Linked DNA regions of Arabidopsis thaliana. The protein of the gene in region 3 interacts with the protein of the main gene of each other region in a pairwise test. Each region holds a gene or a part of one and is shown on either strand. Other genes may lie near its edges.

What was found.
Region 1: the proteins of AT5G01160 (region 3) and CIB1 interact in a two-hybrid assay, tested with the Arabidopsis thaliana proteins (one large-scale study listed by BioGRID).
Region 2: the proteins of AT5G01160 (region 3) and ERF10 interact in a two-hybrid assay, tested with the Arabidopsis thaliana proteins (one large-scale study listed by BioGRID).
Region 4: the proteins of AT5G01160 (region 3) and AT5G05120 interact in a two-hybrid assay, tested with the Arabidopsis thaliana proteins (one large-scale study listed by BioGRID).

Annotation. Positions count from the first base shown.
Region 1 is NC_003075.7:16,496,438-16,500,736, forward strand, and holds CIB1 (cryptochrome-interacting basic-helix-loop-helix 1), read left to right. Parts: upstream 1-1,953; 5' UTR 1,954-2,028; coding exon 2,029-2,331; intron 2,332-2,434; coding exon 2,435-2,695; intron 2,696-2,782; coding exon 2,783-2,917; intron 2,918-3,010; coding exon 3,011-3,082; intron 3,083-3,176; coding exon 3,177-3,347; intron 3,348-3,443; coding exon 3,444-3,509; 3' UTR 3,510-3,737; downstream 3,738-4,299. Other genes in the region: AT4G34540 (NmrA-like negative transcriptional regulator family protein), read left to right, coding at 4,069-4,245. UniProt on the Arabidopsis thaliana protein: Transcription factor that binds DNA to G box 5'-CACGTG-3' and, to a lower extent, to E-box 5'-CANNTG-3' in vitro. Binds to chromatin DNA of the FT gene and promotes its expression, and thus triggers flowering in response to blue light.
Region 2 is NC_003070.9:956,587-960,189, reverse strand, and holds ERF10 (ERF domain protein 10), read left to right. Parts: upstream 1-1,806; 5' UTR 1,807-2,191; coding exon 2,192-2,929; 3' UTR 2,930-3,086; downstream 3,087-3,603. Other genes in the region: AT1G03820 (E6-like protein), read left to right, coding at 1-182; AT1G03810 (Nucleic acid-binding, OB-fold-like protein), read right to left, coding at 581-762, 1,182-1,431.
Region 3 is NC_003076.8:52,174-56,581, reverse strand, and holds AT5G01160 (RING/U-box superfamily protein), read right to left. Parts: upstream 2,727-4,408; 5' UTR 2,386-2,726; exon of another isoform or gene 2,308-2,385; 5' UTR 2,303-2,307; coding exon 2,048-2,302; intron 1,926-2,047; coding exon 1,867-1,925; intron 1,624-1,866; coding exon 855-1,623; 3' UTR 530-854; downstream 1-529. Other genes in the region: AT5G01150 (hypothetical protein (DUF674)), read right to left, coding at 2,933-3,070, 3,143-3,874, 3,959-4,408. UniProt on the Arabidopsis thaliana protein: Probable E3 ubiquitin-protein ligase which is a subunit of the N6-methyltransferase complex, a multiprotein complex that mediates N6-methyladenosine (m6A) methylation at the 5'-[AG]GAC-3' consensus sites of some mRNAs.
Region 4 is NC_003076.8:1,509,538-1,512,365, reverse strand, and holds AT5G05120 (C2H2 and C2HC zinc fingers superfamily protein), read right to left. Parts: upstream 1,135-2,828; coding exon 529-1,134; downstream 1-528. Other genes in the region: AT5G05130 (DNA/RNA helicase protein), read right to left, coding at 1-250; AT5G05113 (uncharacterized protein), read left to right, coding at 2,376-2,633.

The DNA.
Region 1 (4,299 bases), on a different chromosome or scaffold from region 3:
TTCTTACTTTTTACAACATGAAATCTTTTATTTTAAGGAAATTATAGTAACTAACCGTAGAATACAAAAGAATGAAAAAACTAACTATGGAGCAACGGGTCAGAGACAATTTTTATACATTTTTCATTTATATAACAATAACTCATTTATCATTAAATCATTTTTATAACAATAACTAGTAACCATAAAAAATATAAATACTTCTTGGATGTTAAGAAAAAAAAACAATTCTTCTTTTGACGAAAAAGACTTCTTAGGAAAGTTGTATACCTTTAAAATACATGCAAGTTATATGAAAGTTTATAAAATTCACAACTCTTCTTTATTTTAAAACCCAAAAAAAAAAAAAAAAAAAAAGTCCTCTTATTTATACGTCTAATTCCCATGCATATATCGAGAATAACCCATCATATAGGAATTAGGCTCCCATCATGTGATCATGATTCATGAGTCATGACCATTGGATCTCCCCTCATTATTGTTCCATCAGAAATTTCTACGTCGATGATATGTTTCTAATTCTAATTTTTTTTACAGCAATTTCTAATTCTAATTAAGAACTCTCCCATATACAAATTGATATAGATATCTTTTAGTAAGTTAGTAACAACACTTAATTAAACATAGATAAATATACGTGCACAGATCAATTCTCCAGTTTAAGGAAAGAAATTGGATAGATGTATTTAAATACTTTTGTATAAATAATATAACTATCTCCAATACAACACACCGAATCAAATGTCAACATCTACATACATGTCGACATGAATTTATGAACATATATGTACAAGGTGATGGGGAACCCACAAATTAGGTGTGTGGCTTTACTTTTTTTAGTGTATGCATGTATAGTATGATAGGGAGGGAAATAGCTGATCATCATCTTCTATGGACTTAGTCCAAATTCATCACATCAAAAGGCAACGACCATGTCTTTGTTTCTAACAACTTTACACCCTCCCCTTTCCTTATCTACTAACTCCATGTATCTGCTTTAAAGGTTAATATATAACTGGACTAAGCAAAATAAAAGAGAGTTGGGTTTTCATTATAGAATCGAGAAGATTTCATGTCCCTATATCAATCACATAAAGCGTTTTCCAATAACATAAAAAGTCGGATAAATGAAAATATTTGAGAATCTAAAACAATGTCATATATACTTTAATGGAAGGTCCTTTTCTTCGAAATATTTGCTCACCGAAATCGGTGAAAGTGATCTAAGACTAAAACTAACTTGTGAGTAATTCATGTGATGGGCCTTCTGCATCGAAAAAGAGCATGGCGATCACGTGGCAGCCTCTCTTGCGCCGTCTCAGTATTAGCCTATCACGATAGAGTAAGCCAATGTATACAGCATGGCGATCAGACACATGATGATGATCGATCTGAATAACAAGATTCCGAAGGATGTAATAAATTCATGTGAACAGTGCTTCGTAGCTAAACTAAGACCAGAGCTATTGAAATGAGGTAAAGTGTTTTCTTTGTAACCCCATTTTAATTAGGTGAAATATCTAGCGCACACACCAATCTGATTCATATAATCATAACTAGCTTGTAAACTACAAAATTATTTTTCATTGTGTTACAACTAGACCATTCCCACGTGACCATTCACGTGCTCCTATAATGAAAGAAACCTAAAGAAGAGACGCTCCAATTCGCATAGACATCCCAAGCTTATCCTTTCTTAGTGAATCAAGATCCAATTTACACTATAATACATGCATATATTACGTAATAAATGTTTTATAAGTTTTCTGTGTCACTCACTATTTTTAGTTATTTTCTCAATTTTCAATCATCGCAAATATCAATTATCACAAAACATATAAAGTTTCCAGATTTGTATATGGGCCTACCTTATTAGATGCGATGAATATGGACTAAGTACAGAGCTGATGGTTTTTGTTATAAATATCGTTTCCTCTTCTACCCTCACCTTTACTCTGTTTCTTTCTCCACTCTCTCTCTCTCTCGTTGCAAGCAACTTGTTTTCTGAATCCAAAGAAGACGATAACGATGAATGGAGCTATAGGAGGTGACCTTTTGCTCAATTTTCCTGACATGTCGGTCCTAGAGCGCCAAAGGGCTCACCTCAAGTACCTCAATCCCACCTTTGATTCTCCTCTCGCCGGCTTCTTTGCCGATTCTTCAATGATTACCGGCGGCGAGATGGACAGCTATCTTTCGACTGCCGGTTTGAATCTTCCGATGATGTACGGTGAGACGACGGTGGAAGGTGATTCAAGACTCTCAATTTCGCCGGAAACGACGCTTGGGACTGGAAATTTCAAGAAACGGAAGTTTGATACAGAGACTAAGGTTCGTGTGTAAAGAAAACTTAAGTTTAAGTTCTATAAATGAAAAAGAAAACAGATCTTACTTTGAGATTTGGCTTATCTGTTTCTTCTGTGTGTGCTTTTAGGATTGTAATGAGAAGAAGAAGAAGATGACGATGAACAGAGATGACCTAGTAGAAGAAGGAGAAGAAGAGAAGTCGAAAATAACAGAGCAAAACAATGGGAGCACAAAAAGCATCAAGAAGATGAAACACAAAGCCAAGAAAGAAGAGAACAATTTCTCTAATGATTCATCTAAAGTGACGAAGGAATTGGAGAAAACGGATTATATTCATGTTCGTGCACGACGAGGCCAAGCCACTGATAGTCACAGCATAGCAGAACGAGTAAGAGAGCCTCATTAACTAAAATTCATTAACTTTGTTTTTTGTGTAATCATTGAGACTAATTATTAAAGTATTAAATTTGTGAAGGTTAGAAGAGAAAAGATCAGTGAGAGAATGAAGTTTCTACAAGATTTGGTTCCTGGATGCGACAAGATCACAGGCAAAGCAGGGATGCTTGATGAAATCATTAACTATGTTCAGTCTCTTCAGAGACAAATCGAGGTCTGAAAATTATTTCCATTTATAGAAAATATGTTTTAAAGACTAATTTTGCATTACCTTCCTAATTTGTTATCAAAATATTGTTTAAAACAGTTCTTATCGATGAAACTAGCAATTGTGAATCCAAGGCCGGATTTTGATATGGATGACATTTTTGCCAAAGAGGTTAGTCATTGATTTGTTTATGCTTATATGAAAAACAAAACTTTAAAGGCTATTTATAGATGAGCTAAAATACGCCATGTGGATTCAAAACCAGGTTGCCTCAACTCCAATGACTGTGGTGCCATCTCCTGAAATGGTTCTTTCCGGTTATTCTCATGAGATGGTTCACTCTGGTTATTCTAGTGAGATGGTTAACTCCGGTTACCTTCATGTCAATCCAATGCAGCAAGTGAATACCAGTTCTGATCCATTGTCATGCTTCAACGTAAGTCATATTTTTAATACTCTTTCATTATGATCTATCCTTTAGTTTAACTTTGGATATGATAATTTTTTACTAAATATGTTTTGATTGTTACAGAATGGCGAAGCTCCTTCGATGTGGGACTCTCATGTGCAGAATCTCTATGGCAATTTAGGAGTTTGATTAAGAAACCAATCCACAACATAACAATGTTCCCTAATTCAAATTATTCATCGGAAGAGAGAGCAAACCAGTAGCTGTTATTTACTAATTCCACTAGATTATTGACTTGAGATCCCCCGCCCATTAGTTGATGTATCAAAGAGTGTAGACATTATTGTGTATAATTTGCAAACCAGTCCAGTAATATATTTCTTATCGGTGGACTTGTGTCTTTAATTCAAGGTGTGTTCTCATCTTCTTGTGGTGAATGATCATCCATTAGTATTTTTTTTTTTAGTATACAATGCCACAAGTCATGCGACCATGAAATCAAGAAACAAGACACCAGTCGTTTAACGTTATGTTTTACATCTTATCACTAACAATCTTCTAATCTATGTTTTGGTTACTTTGAAAAAGCGGGACTAATCCCAAATTTAAAGCAATTGAATAAACAACACCTGTTAAGCGTGGCGGACAAAACGACGACAATGTAAGAGAACTGAGTCAGAGATTAAAACCTATGACCAACCCATTGGAACTAAACTATCCTAATTCTCTATACGGAGAGTATATATAAATGGAGGAGGAGAAGAAGAAGAGCAGAGTTTTGATCATCGGAGCAACAGGAAGATTAGGGAACTATTTGACCCGTTTCAGCATCGAATCGGGTCACCCGACTTTCGCTCTCATCAGAAACACCACTCTCTCCGATAAGCTGAAATCTCTCTCCGACGCCGGCGTTACCCTCCTCAAAGTCTCTCTCTTTGCAATATCTCTGTAATTTCCTCATTAGGGTTCTTCTGTAGAT
Region 2 (3,603 bases), on a different chromosome or scaffold from region 3:
TGAGTGACACAAGGGTTATGGAGAACGGTAAGTATTTCTACGACACAAGAGGTAGGAATTCAGAAAACACCCCTAGTCGCGGGTATGAGAATGCTCGAGGAAATGATCATACCAACGAGTTTGAAACTATGGAGGAATACTACAAGAGCTTGGAGGGTAGTCAAGAAGAGTATGAGCCTTAGAAGGAAATTGTATTTGAGAAAACAAAACACTTTTTTGGAGCAATTAATTATATTGTGCAATCTCCATTTACTTGTCTTTTATGAAAAGTGAAAGTAAAAACACTTTTAAGTTATACAAATCAAAGCTGTGAGTTATATTATGTTTATGCTAAAATTTTTTAACGTTTATCTTAATCTCAATTTATGACCATGATTAATACCAGCGACGAGTATGTGTTAAAAATAGAATCAAAAGACCAATAATACCAATTTAAGAGAACTATGCAAGACCAAAACTACACCATCATAATCTCAAAAGTAATCATAACTGAATATAATCTCAGTGACCTAGAGAGTTCTCTGAAAATTTAAATTAAATAATAACGAAGAGAAGTAGAGACAGACACCGGTTGTAGTCATTAAGCAGTAATTACTTCATACTCGACCAGAGAGAGATTGTTGGCCCGGTTAACCTCGAACGAAACAGGACCGGTTATTTCAATGCGTCCCCATCTGTCAACAGCCATTCTCATAGTGTCCTTGAACAAGTCGATCTTCGCATTCCTCAGTATAACTGTTGCTCCAGTCTTCATTAGATCAACTGCATTTGCAACCCCAAAAGAACATCATTAATTAGTACCATACATATTCTCACATATTGAATAGGAAGTTGTATAAATGTCAAACACAAACACACTAATCAAAGCTTAGAGATTAATGAAGTGGAACATATTGAACACTAATCAAAGCTTAGACATATATAAATAGATATACTCTGTTCATCAATAAACTAAACTATAAGCAAAATTATCTATAAAAAAAGTTAAACTTTATCAAAATCTCTGAAGTATAAATGTTTTAGATCTTCACAAACATAGAGATTCCAATCAAGGCATATATAAACCTAGAAACAGAGAAATTATGGAAAGATTGAACGCAATTTCGAGTGAAAACGATAGAGAAACGATTACGAAACCCTAACCAAGAGAACTTATATATGTAAATAATTAAGATCCTTACCTTGGTCGTTGCGAGCGGTGAAAAGAATGCATCCAGTATCGTCACCAATTAGGCACTCAGCGATACGAGGAGATGAAATTGGCTGCTGCGTCAACGAACTTTTACGAATCGCCGGTTTAACGGGATTCGATTCAAGGACTTTGACGATCAGAGTATGGCCGCTGGTTCCTGGTTTGAGCTGATCCACCTTCACAAACACTGGTTTACGCTTCGGCGCAGTCGTCGCGTTAGTATTCGCCGTCGTCGACATAGTGTCGTAATTTGAATCTCCTTAGGGTTTTTCAAAATAATTGACAACTTTGACGTGATGAAGAGTCGCGCTGGTAGATTAGGGTTTAGATTCTTCACAATGGTATTTAAATGAGAAAATTAGAAACAAATCTTACTCTGGATTATTATCTAAATTACTGGATTATAAATTACCACTAATTCATTTTTTGCGATTTTTAAAACGGTATACATTTTATTGGCGCGTTCAAAATTTGAAACTTAAACTCATTATATTTTCATATTATGCTTAATATTAGTCGAATTTTCTTTTTTTGACATCCAATATTAGTCTAAGCAGATTGTGGAGTAATAATAAATCATCAAATTTTGTTATAATGTAGCAATGTATCATCTACTCAATTTTTATGTATTATAACTTTTGTATCAAAGAATACAATTTTAGATTCATCAAGCTTTCTCGAAGTATATATTCGACATGGATAATTTCTAAGTACTTGTTTATCAGATTCTCAGATAAAATATGAAAAAGCCCAAAGATAATAACCTGTTAAAGCCCAAGCAACAAATGGCGCAAAACTGCGAGACGCAAGAACGGGGACGTTTAGGTTAAAACATAAAAAGGCGTCATAAAACTGTTTTCTCTTTAAGGCGGCGCGTCAGTCAATCCACGTGGACATTTCTTTCCACATTTTTGTCACTTTGTCCTTTTGTGGGATTACGTCACTTCTATAAAACAATAGTTTTGTCCTTTATCTAAATTATTCTCCCCCAACCAAAATATGACCACAGAAAAAGAGAATGTCACTACGGCCGTGGCCGTGAAAGACGGCGGAGAAAAGAGTAAGGAAGTGAGTGACAAGGGCGTAAAGAAGAGAAAGAATGTAACTAAGGCCCTGGCCGTGAATGACGGCGGAGAAAAGAGTAAGGAAGTGCGTTACAGGGGTGTAAGGAGGAGACCATGGGGGAGATATGCTGCGGAGATCCGTGATCCGGTAAAGAAAAAACGGGTCTGGCTCGGGTCCTTCAACACGGGGGAGGAAGCCGCCAGAGCCTACGACTCCGCTGCCATAAGGTTTCGAGGATCGAAAGCTACTACTAACTTCCCTCTAATCGGATACTATGGGATTTCTTCGGCGACGCCGGTGAACAACAACCTTTCCGAGACGGTGAGTGATGGAAATGCCAACCTCCCTCTCGTTGGAGACGATGGGAATGCTTTGGCTTCTCCGGTGAACAACACCCTTTCCGAAACGGCGCGTGATGGAACACTTCCATCGGATTGTCACGACATGTTATCTCCGGGGGTGGCTGAAGCGGTTGCTGGATTTTTCTTAGATCTGCCTGAAGTTATTGCGTTGAAAGAGGAGCTTGATCGAGTTTGTCCTGACCAGTTTGAGTCCATTGATATGGGGTTGACTATTGGTCCTCAAACCGCCGTGGAAGAGCCTGAGACTTCCTCCGCCGTGGATTGTAAGCTGCGAATGGAACCGGATCTTGACCTCAACGCAAGTCCCTAAAGATTGATCTGATGTTGTTGTCCTTGAATAAGTTTGTTATCTTGTCGCTCTTCTGATTGTCTGTACTTCTATTGGTTGATTCGTGCTTTTGGAGGACAAAACAAACATTTTTTTATGTATTAAAAAAAGGTAATTGAACTATTATCGTATCATAACCTAGCCAATGGATTTCGTGTTGACGTGGGGGATAAAGAAGTATTGGTGTCAGGTGGGTCGCACGTGTGTTTTTCGCCGTCCACAGTGACACGTGGAATACAACTTATCTCACTACTTACCTTTTTTACTCACGCGCTCTCTTTTACGGTGATATACACTAGCTCCTTGAATTAGTTATAACTTATAAGAGCAAAGGTAAATATCAAATGAGAGAAAGAAAAACATCTGTGACAATGATTGTATTTAATACCCCAGTAACAAACTGATCCAAAATCAAGATTCTCTTGATAAACAGAAATATGTATGTTTCATCACTTTGTTTATAGCAATGAGTATAGAGTCCACCAAAAGGAGTATATATGTTCATAGATCCCATACATGCATGTATGTGCTCATATATTATAATATTATGTAGTCAACACGTCTCGATATGTACATCTGTCGATGACATACACATGCCTCATATGAAAGCTACTAGCTTTCGTGTGGTGTCCAAAGAAGAACAATTGGAGAACTTG
Region 3 (4,408 bases):
GGTCATAATGATTGGTGTGATTAATCATGAAAATTACGACAATGATTATAGCTTTTACATTTTGAAAATTTATATGGGGATCGTAATAATTCATAGAAAACATGGGAAAAAGTGTCTTAGATCTCAGTTTTCTTCTATTCTCATAATGTGAAATAATGGTGTCTTGCAAATATTGTTATGTATCATTATGGTTCATAATTGGAGAATCCATTTGAAACGAAATTTCTCATAGCCACACACTTATCAATAACTGGTTCAGTTCAATTCACATGATTTCTAGTTTAAAACTAACAAATATGAATAAGTTATTTGATAATTTTATACTTAACTAGCTAATAGTATATTTTCGTGTGTGTTTATGCTAGAGAATAAATGCTTACAGAAATTTGAACTTGGTGCTGAATAGTGAATACATATGTAGAGTGAAGGAATCCCAATAAAGAGACTGTGAAATATTGTCTGTAAGCATAGCTGTGCCTAAGATTAGTGAGATCATCGGCGGTGTTTAGAAAAAATCTCAACTCATATAATAACCATCATCATCATCCTCCCAAAACAGTAAAGAAAAAGAGCTAAAAACCAAAATATCAATCTTAGTTCTTTCTTTATCACAGTGACACAGTGGGTGCAATCTACGATGGTTGTTCCTATAAAATGGTGTAAAACCTTTGGTTCAACCCAAATCAGTTTGGTTTTTCCGATGGAATTTTTGGCACGGTTTTGGCTCGGTTGAAATTGGGTTTACTCGAATTACATGTTAGACCAACAACAAACGACACAGTTTTTAGAAACAAAAGTACTTGAAACTTTCAAACGACGAGTTTAACATTGCACAAATTCAAACTAGACTACTCTTACTCCTGCCCAAAGCCATCACGGTTCTCTTGTGGCCACCCAAAACTTTGACCGTCTCTACCCCGGTTAACCTGCTGGGTCGTGTGAGGCGGTGCCATTCCGGGATTCCATGATGGAGGAGGATACGATCCTTGGAAATTCAGATTCGTCATTGGTGAAGGCGGGGGATACCCGAGCAATGAACTTTGTTCTGATCCGCCGCTCTCTGTTCTTGTCATCTCGTACTGAGCACCGTTAAAGAATTGTTGAGATGATCCACTCTCTGTTGTTGGATACGAAGGAAAACCAAACTGCTGTGGTAAACCCGGGTTTTGATTCATTGGAACGGGCAAGCTGGGCGGTTGCATAAGATTCATAGGCTGGGGGTAGTCTGGGAACCGGATTCCTGGTTTAGGACTAGCGGTTTCGAATCCAGGAGGGCGAGAGTTATCGCTATCTGGAGGGTAATTCTGGACTTGACTAAATCCAGACTGTGACTTTGCAAATGACGCCGACCTGTTTAGTTCACGGGATTGTTGCAGCTGGGATCTTAAAGGAGCTCGCAAGGTGGATTCTGAAGCTGAAGACTGCTGCATTGTGCTCTGAACATCTGACTGGTTACCATCTTCTTTCTCTGCATCGGCTTGTAATAGGCTTCCATGGAGGTCATGGACATGGGCTTCAAAGTCAAGTTTCTTCAGGAAAGACCTAAGACAATGAGGAGCTGCACAGATGAAGATCCCTTCCATCATCTTGATTGTTTGAATCTTCTGAATCCGCTCATCACATCTGTGCAGTAATCACACACACAAGAGACAACAAGATTTCAGTCTGATAATCGCTACGCCTAGTAAATCTTAAAATGTCTCTGTAGATTACTAAACAATCTAGAATATCTCTATCAAAGCTTCTAATGAAATTCGAAGCCTAGTTCAAACTATGATAATCCTGCGTCTCTGTAGATTACCAAACAATCTAAAGTATCTCTATCAAAGCTTCTAATGAAATTCGATGAGAGTTAAAGATGGTTACAGATAGCAGATGGAATCACTGCGAGCACATTCAAGGCAAAAGGCATGATCACAAGGAATCTGCAAAACCAAAACAAAACAAAAAAAGTTTCAATCACATATAGAAGAAGAGCCCCCTTAAAAAAACTCTTTAAGGCAAATCAATATAGCCATAAACCAATGAAGGAAGCGAAGTTTTTTACCAGACGACCATAGATTGCAATCGGAAAATCGCAACGAACGCAGAAGTGAACTCTCTCGCCTAGCTGACGGCGAGAACGACGACCGACGGGCTTGATTACGGTGGTGGGAGTCACGGAACCGATTCCTTTCGCAACAGGAAGATCGGCGAGGACGAGATGGTCGGGACAGGCTACAGTAACCGTCTCCGTCGGAGAAGGCCTCGCACCATTTCCAGTTTCCGTCGGGGAATCCCTCCGAAGACGAATTTGAAGCATTGTCGCTGTAAAAGTTACATGAACGGAACCCTAAGAAATACAAATCAAAAGAAAGAATAGGAATCAAAAGCTTCTCTAGTTACCAAGTTAAATCGGAGATTGAGATTTCAGATCTCTCTCTCTACTTCAGTTCTTCTCAAGAATCACGCCGGAGCCGAAAACGGCGAAGCAAATTTTGTTTTTGTGGGCAACGGAGGAGAATAGAAGCCTTCAAGTCTTCTGGCTGAGAAAGAGGGTTTCCATTAATTAACTTCAAGTCTTATTTTTTTCTGATCAACACTTCATATGTCTTCAACATTCCCAATTACTATATACCAACTGGATCTTATTATAAACTTTTGTATATGGATGCATTTTTTTTGGTAATGGTTGTATATTTCAGTCTTATCGTACTAGGAAATTCCAGATTTTAGGCTTGTTGCTTTATAAACTCAAAAAGATGTGCAAGTTTTTGCCTGCATTTAAAAAACCCTATTAAGATGAATTTCCATAAAACAATAATTTGATTAGTCTTACAAAGAAAGATAAGGCTTGGAAGAAAACATGAGGAATGTAATGTAGATTTTGCGGAATTCTAAAAACATAATCAACAATCGACTTAGAGTTCATTCTCACTAGCTTTCTATTTCTTCAAGTCTCTTCCTTCACTTTCTTTGAAACCGTGTCCCATAAATCAGTCTCCTCCTTCAGTTTCTTAGCAATCAAATTCCATAATGTCGTGCTCAAAGCAGAGGATGTCACCAAGGAAGCTCTCAACAAATCCAAAGCCTAATTCAAAATCAAGTGTCAGTCAAGTTCCTTTCAAGAATACAGGATCAAAAAGGGTATACAGAAACATACCTCTGCATTGCTGATACTAATTACTTGCACCTCTAGATCGTCTGCGTGACTCTGCAACTTCTTTAGTAAACAAACTGTGGAGCAGGAGTTCATAGATGTAATGGTCAGATCATCTAATACAGTACACTTTGTCGCTTTCTTCAAGAACCCCTGAGCAGACTTATCGCTGCCACGGGATTTGGGATCCTTCAAATCCACCCGAACGATTCTGTCTTTGCGGTAATAAGTAGTTCGATTACCGTTTGTAGTCAAACCATAGTTCATTTGCCTGTAATCGTAGAGCCTGTAACGGTAGTACACCGGAGGTTGTTGAGTGATAATACCAGGCAGTTGCATCTGGAAATTATAGAAAGACGGAAGTGCGCATGTGGAAGTTGACATTTGAGTCTCCTCATTTAAGTCCCTGAAGGTTCTACACATGTTTCCTATGCAACCTAAGGAGATACTGCTGCCAGAGATTTCCCATGCAGATTCAAGCGGGACAGCAATAAAAGAGAAAAGAAGCTCAACAAATTCCTCTCCGCATTCAACAAATAAAATCTTCATGTCCTGCTTCCTCACAAATGCTTTCAAAGTTACTACCTTTTCAGGTTCTGCTTCATCTTCTTTTTTCTCCAAACATGGACTTTGCGATTTGTAAAACTTCGTCGCACCTTGTGTAATCTTCTTGTTCAAGAAAATGTCCTTTAAGGGAGCATTTGAGGAGAATATACATCCCAGCAGAGTCAGTACCTAGTCCAAGATTCAGATATAGTAAGAGAGAACTAATAAAGTAATGATAACACAAACGCTTGAAGAATAAACTAACTAACATACCTCTTTCACACCAATATCAAGAAGCCTTTCACCGAGCTTACCAACATCAGCACAACCTAAGGATTTGAGCTTATTCAAGACAAGTTCAGTGGACTTGACTGACACTTCCAAGTCATCGGTTAAGACGAATGAACACCTACCGCTGACAAATACTCCATTATCATCATCTTGAAACCGGCCTAAATCTTGTTCCTCGTTTTCTAACTGAATCTCCTCGTTCATAAATTTTCCGCAACGACATTTAGAGGTGCTGAAATTACTGTACAAGCCGCAGTAACTTGAGCACTTAAAACACTTGATGTCCTCAGTAGGGTTTATGTTGAGCTTAAGCCTTTTGCACTGGAGGTCTTTCACACTCTTCGGATACACAAGCATCTGCTTACAAGCTTCAGTCTCAAAACAATCACTGCCCATGTCCACAACACTTCTATAGAGATTGTTAAAACAGCC
Region 4 (2,828 bases), 1.5 Mb from region 3:
GACCCACCATCTCTCGACCGTTGATTCGGCCGGAATAGTACTTTAACCCTACTATGTTCGCGATAACAAACCCTATCAGATAAGACTCCGAAACACAGTCCTGAGATTGCTGCTGTGATGGTTCCACCGGAGATTGGAATTCGTCTTCGTTCGCCATGGGAGAGGAAGAGAAGCGTCGAAGAAACTGAGCCATGGGAGAGGAACGATGACGGAGAGAAGAAGGAGCTCGAAAGTATTTCAAAACCCGCATCCTTTCGAAAGAGTGGTTTTTTTTTTTATATTGGTATCATAAAGTAACTAAAATTGAGATTTGCATCTCAAATTCTTATAAATAGAATTTGACACCCCAAAGTCAGAACAATATCAAGTTTTTATTATTATATGAAATTCAAATGCAAATAACAACCAAGTTTATTACAATGTTCAAGTGCACAAGTACTGATTTGACACAAGCCGATAATACTATGCAAGAAAACAAAGGTGAGGAATGAAAGTTTAAGAAATACTTAAAAGGGAAAGATTACAATTTCACAGTTTGAGTGAGAGAGAAAGGGAAGAACCATCATTTTCTTTCTCAGCATCCATCTCTTCTGTTGCATCATTTGGTTCTTGAGGTTGTGGTTGGGTTTGGGAGCTACCAATGCCAAGGCAAAGATCCAAACATATTGGTGACGATAGTGGTTGAGGTTGAGATTGGGGTAGGAATGGGATCCCGGTAAAGGTCCAATCCTGGTTCATTCCTTGACTTGGGTCACTTTGTAGTCCTGCAAAGCTAGAGCTTGAGGATCCCACATATTGGTTGTAGACCATGGACATCTTGTATGATCTATCAACTTTGTACTGAGGCTGTTCAAATCCCGGTGGGAGTGCGTATTGGTTAGGAAATGAATGATGATACGAATACGAGTACGCGTAAAGATCTGGTTCTGGTCGGTTCAAATGCGCCAAAAATGCTTTTTGTTGTTTTTCGACCTCTCTCTCCTTTCTGTGTGCATTTTGATGACCACCTAATGCTTGTGTTTTATCGAACTTCCTAGGACAATACTTGCATTTGTATATAGGATTCTCTATCGATCCGGTGGCGGAGGCATCGTCGCTAATATCACTAGCGTAATTCGAGTCCGAGGACAACATTTCGTTGTCGATCGGATCGGGCTTTTAGAAATTAGGTTTGATGGCTTGAATATGTTATTGCACCCGGATAGGTATTTAAAGATTTAATACTTTGTATGCACTTTTAATATCAAGGAAAGTTATATGTTGTAATGTTATGATGTTTGAATAAGATAAATGCATATTGATGAAATATGGAAAGGGACTTAGTTATAGAGAAACATGATGAAGAACAAAGACTAACTGAAGTACTTAACAAACTAGTTTATCATTTCGACAACTCACACATAACATGTTTAATTACTATATATATTTGACATTTTACATTTGCCGAATTTGCGTAGTAAATTTGTTTCTGAATTAATACTTGTTGCATTTAGCATATTTAGTCAAAATTAGTTCCAAACATTACTGATTTCCAAAGTGAGTAGGGAGATTTTGGTTTTGCCCTATTAAATTTGAGATATAGTTGAAAACAAAATTATTTAGAAGAGTTTAAAGAGTTAATTAGTAGATCTTAATGTAGTCAACTTTAGAAAACAAGAATTAAAGATTTAATTAGTGTCATTATGTAGTAAACTTTTAGTACATAATTATCTCAACTCTTAAATAAAATATTTACCTTTAAGTTTTCTATTGTTTTCCATTGCTTGCAATTTTATTTATTTTCATATACATCACTTTGGAGGTAATAAAAATAAAATTATTTTCATATCAACATAATGAAAATATATATTAAAAGTAAGTAATTAAACTAAATTTGGCTACCTTTTAATAAGAGTAGAGAAACTGATGGAAGCATTTTACCATCAAATCTATAATGCTGATTCTCACATCAAAAAAGCATTAACTTAATAATTTTACTATGACATATAGCACATTTTCAGACTTTCTTGTGATATACATGGCTTAGTATGACAGATTGGATTAAACTTAAGATAATGAACATCTATGTATAGTCAAGGTTTAAACAAGATATTCAACTCTAACATACCAAATTAAAATCTATATAGTTTCTTAGCTATCTTTTCAGCATTAAAATATACAGATTGGATTAAACTTATGATATTGAACATCTATGTAATCAAGGTTTATAAACTTTGTAAACATTTTTATAAATAGCACATTAATTGGAGATAAGAAGAAAGCTATATGTATTATAATTAGGGTTAGTGAACTTTGAGAGCTTGGATTGACGATGAACTTCCGCCGTATCATTGGTTCTAGTAGCCATCTCTTGAAAAGGGTCTGTACAACGGAGTATGCTCCGACATCGATCAGGGTTGATGTACTTGCGAAGACAAAAGTGGAAAATAGGAGGATGGAGAAGAAGAGAATCATGCATGTTCGAGAAACTGCAATCTCTCACTGAGCCGGAGGGAATAGCGCACACGTTAAACAAGTTGATGAGGATTGAGAAGGAGCACGAATCCGTCACCAGAGAAGATCTGAAGCACGTAGATTGGATGGTGCGACGACCTGTCTTTCCTTCAAAAGCAAAGATATTGATTGGTTATTAGCTACCTGAGAAGGAAAAAGGGGACTATAACACACTTTCAACACATTTCGTAAATCGCAACTGGTACCTGAGGCTGTCCAACACACTTTCGCAACTGAAACTCATGGTTTCTTTGATGGATTGTCTTAATGAATAACTTAACCACGGCTTTCAGATTTTCTCTTTGCCTTTTAAATCTCTCTTGTAATTAGAGGTA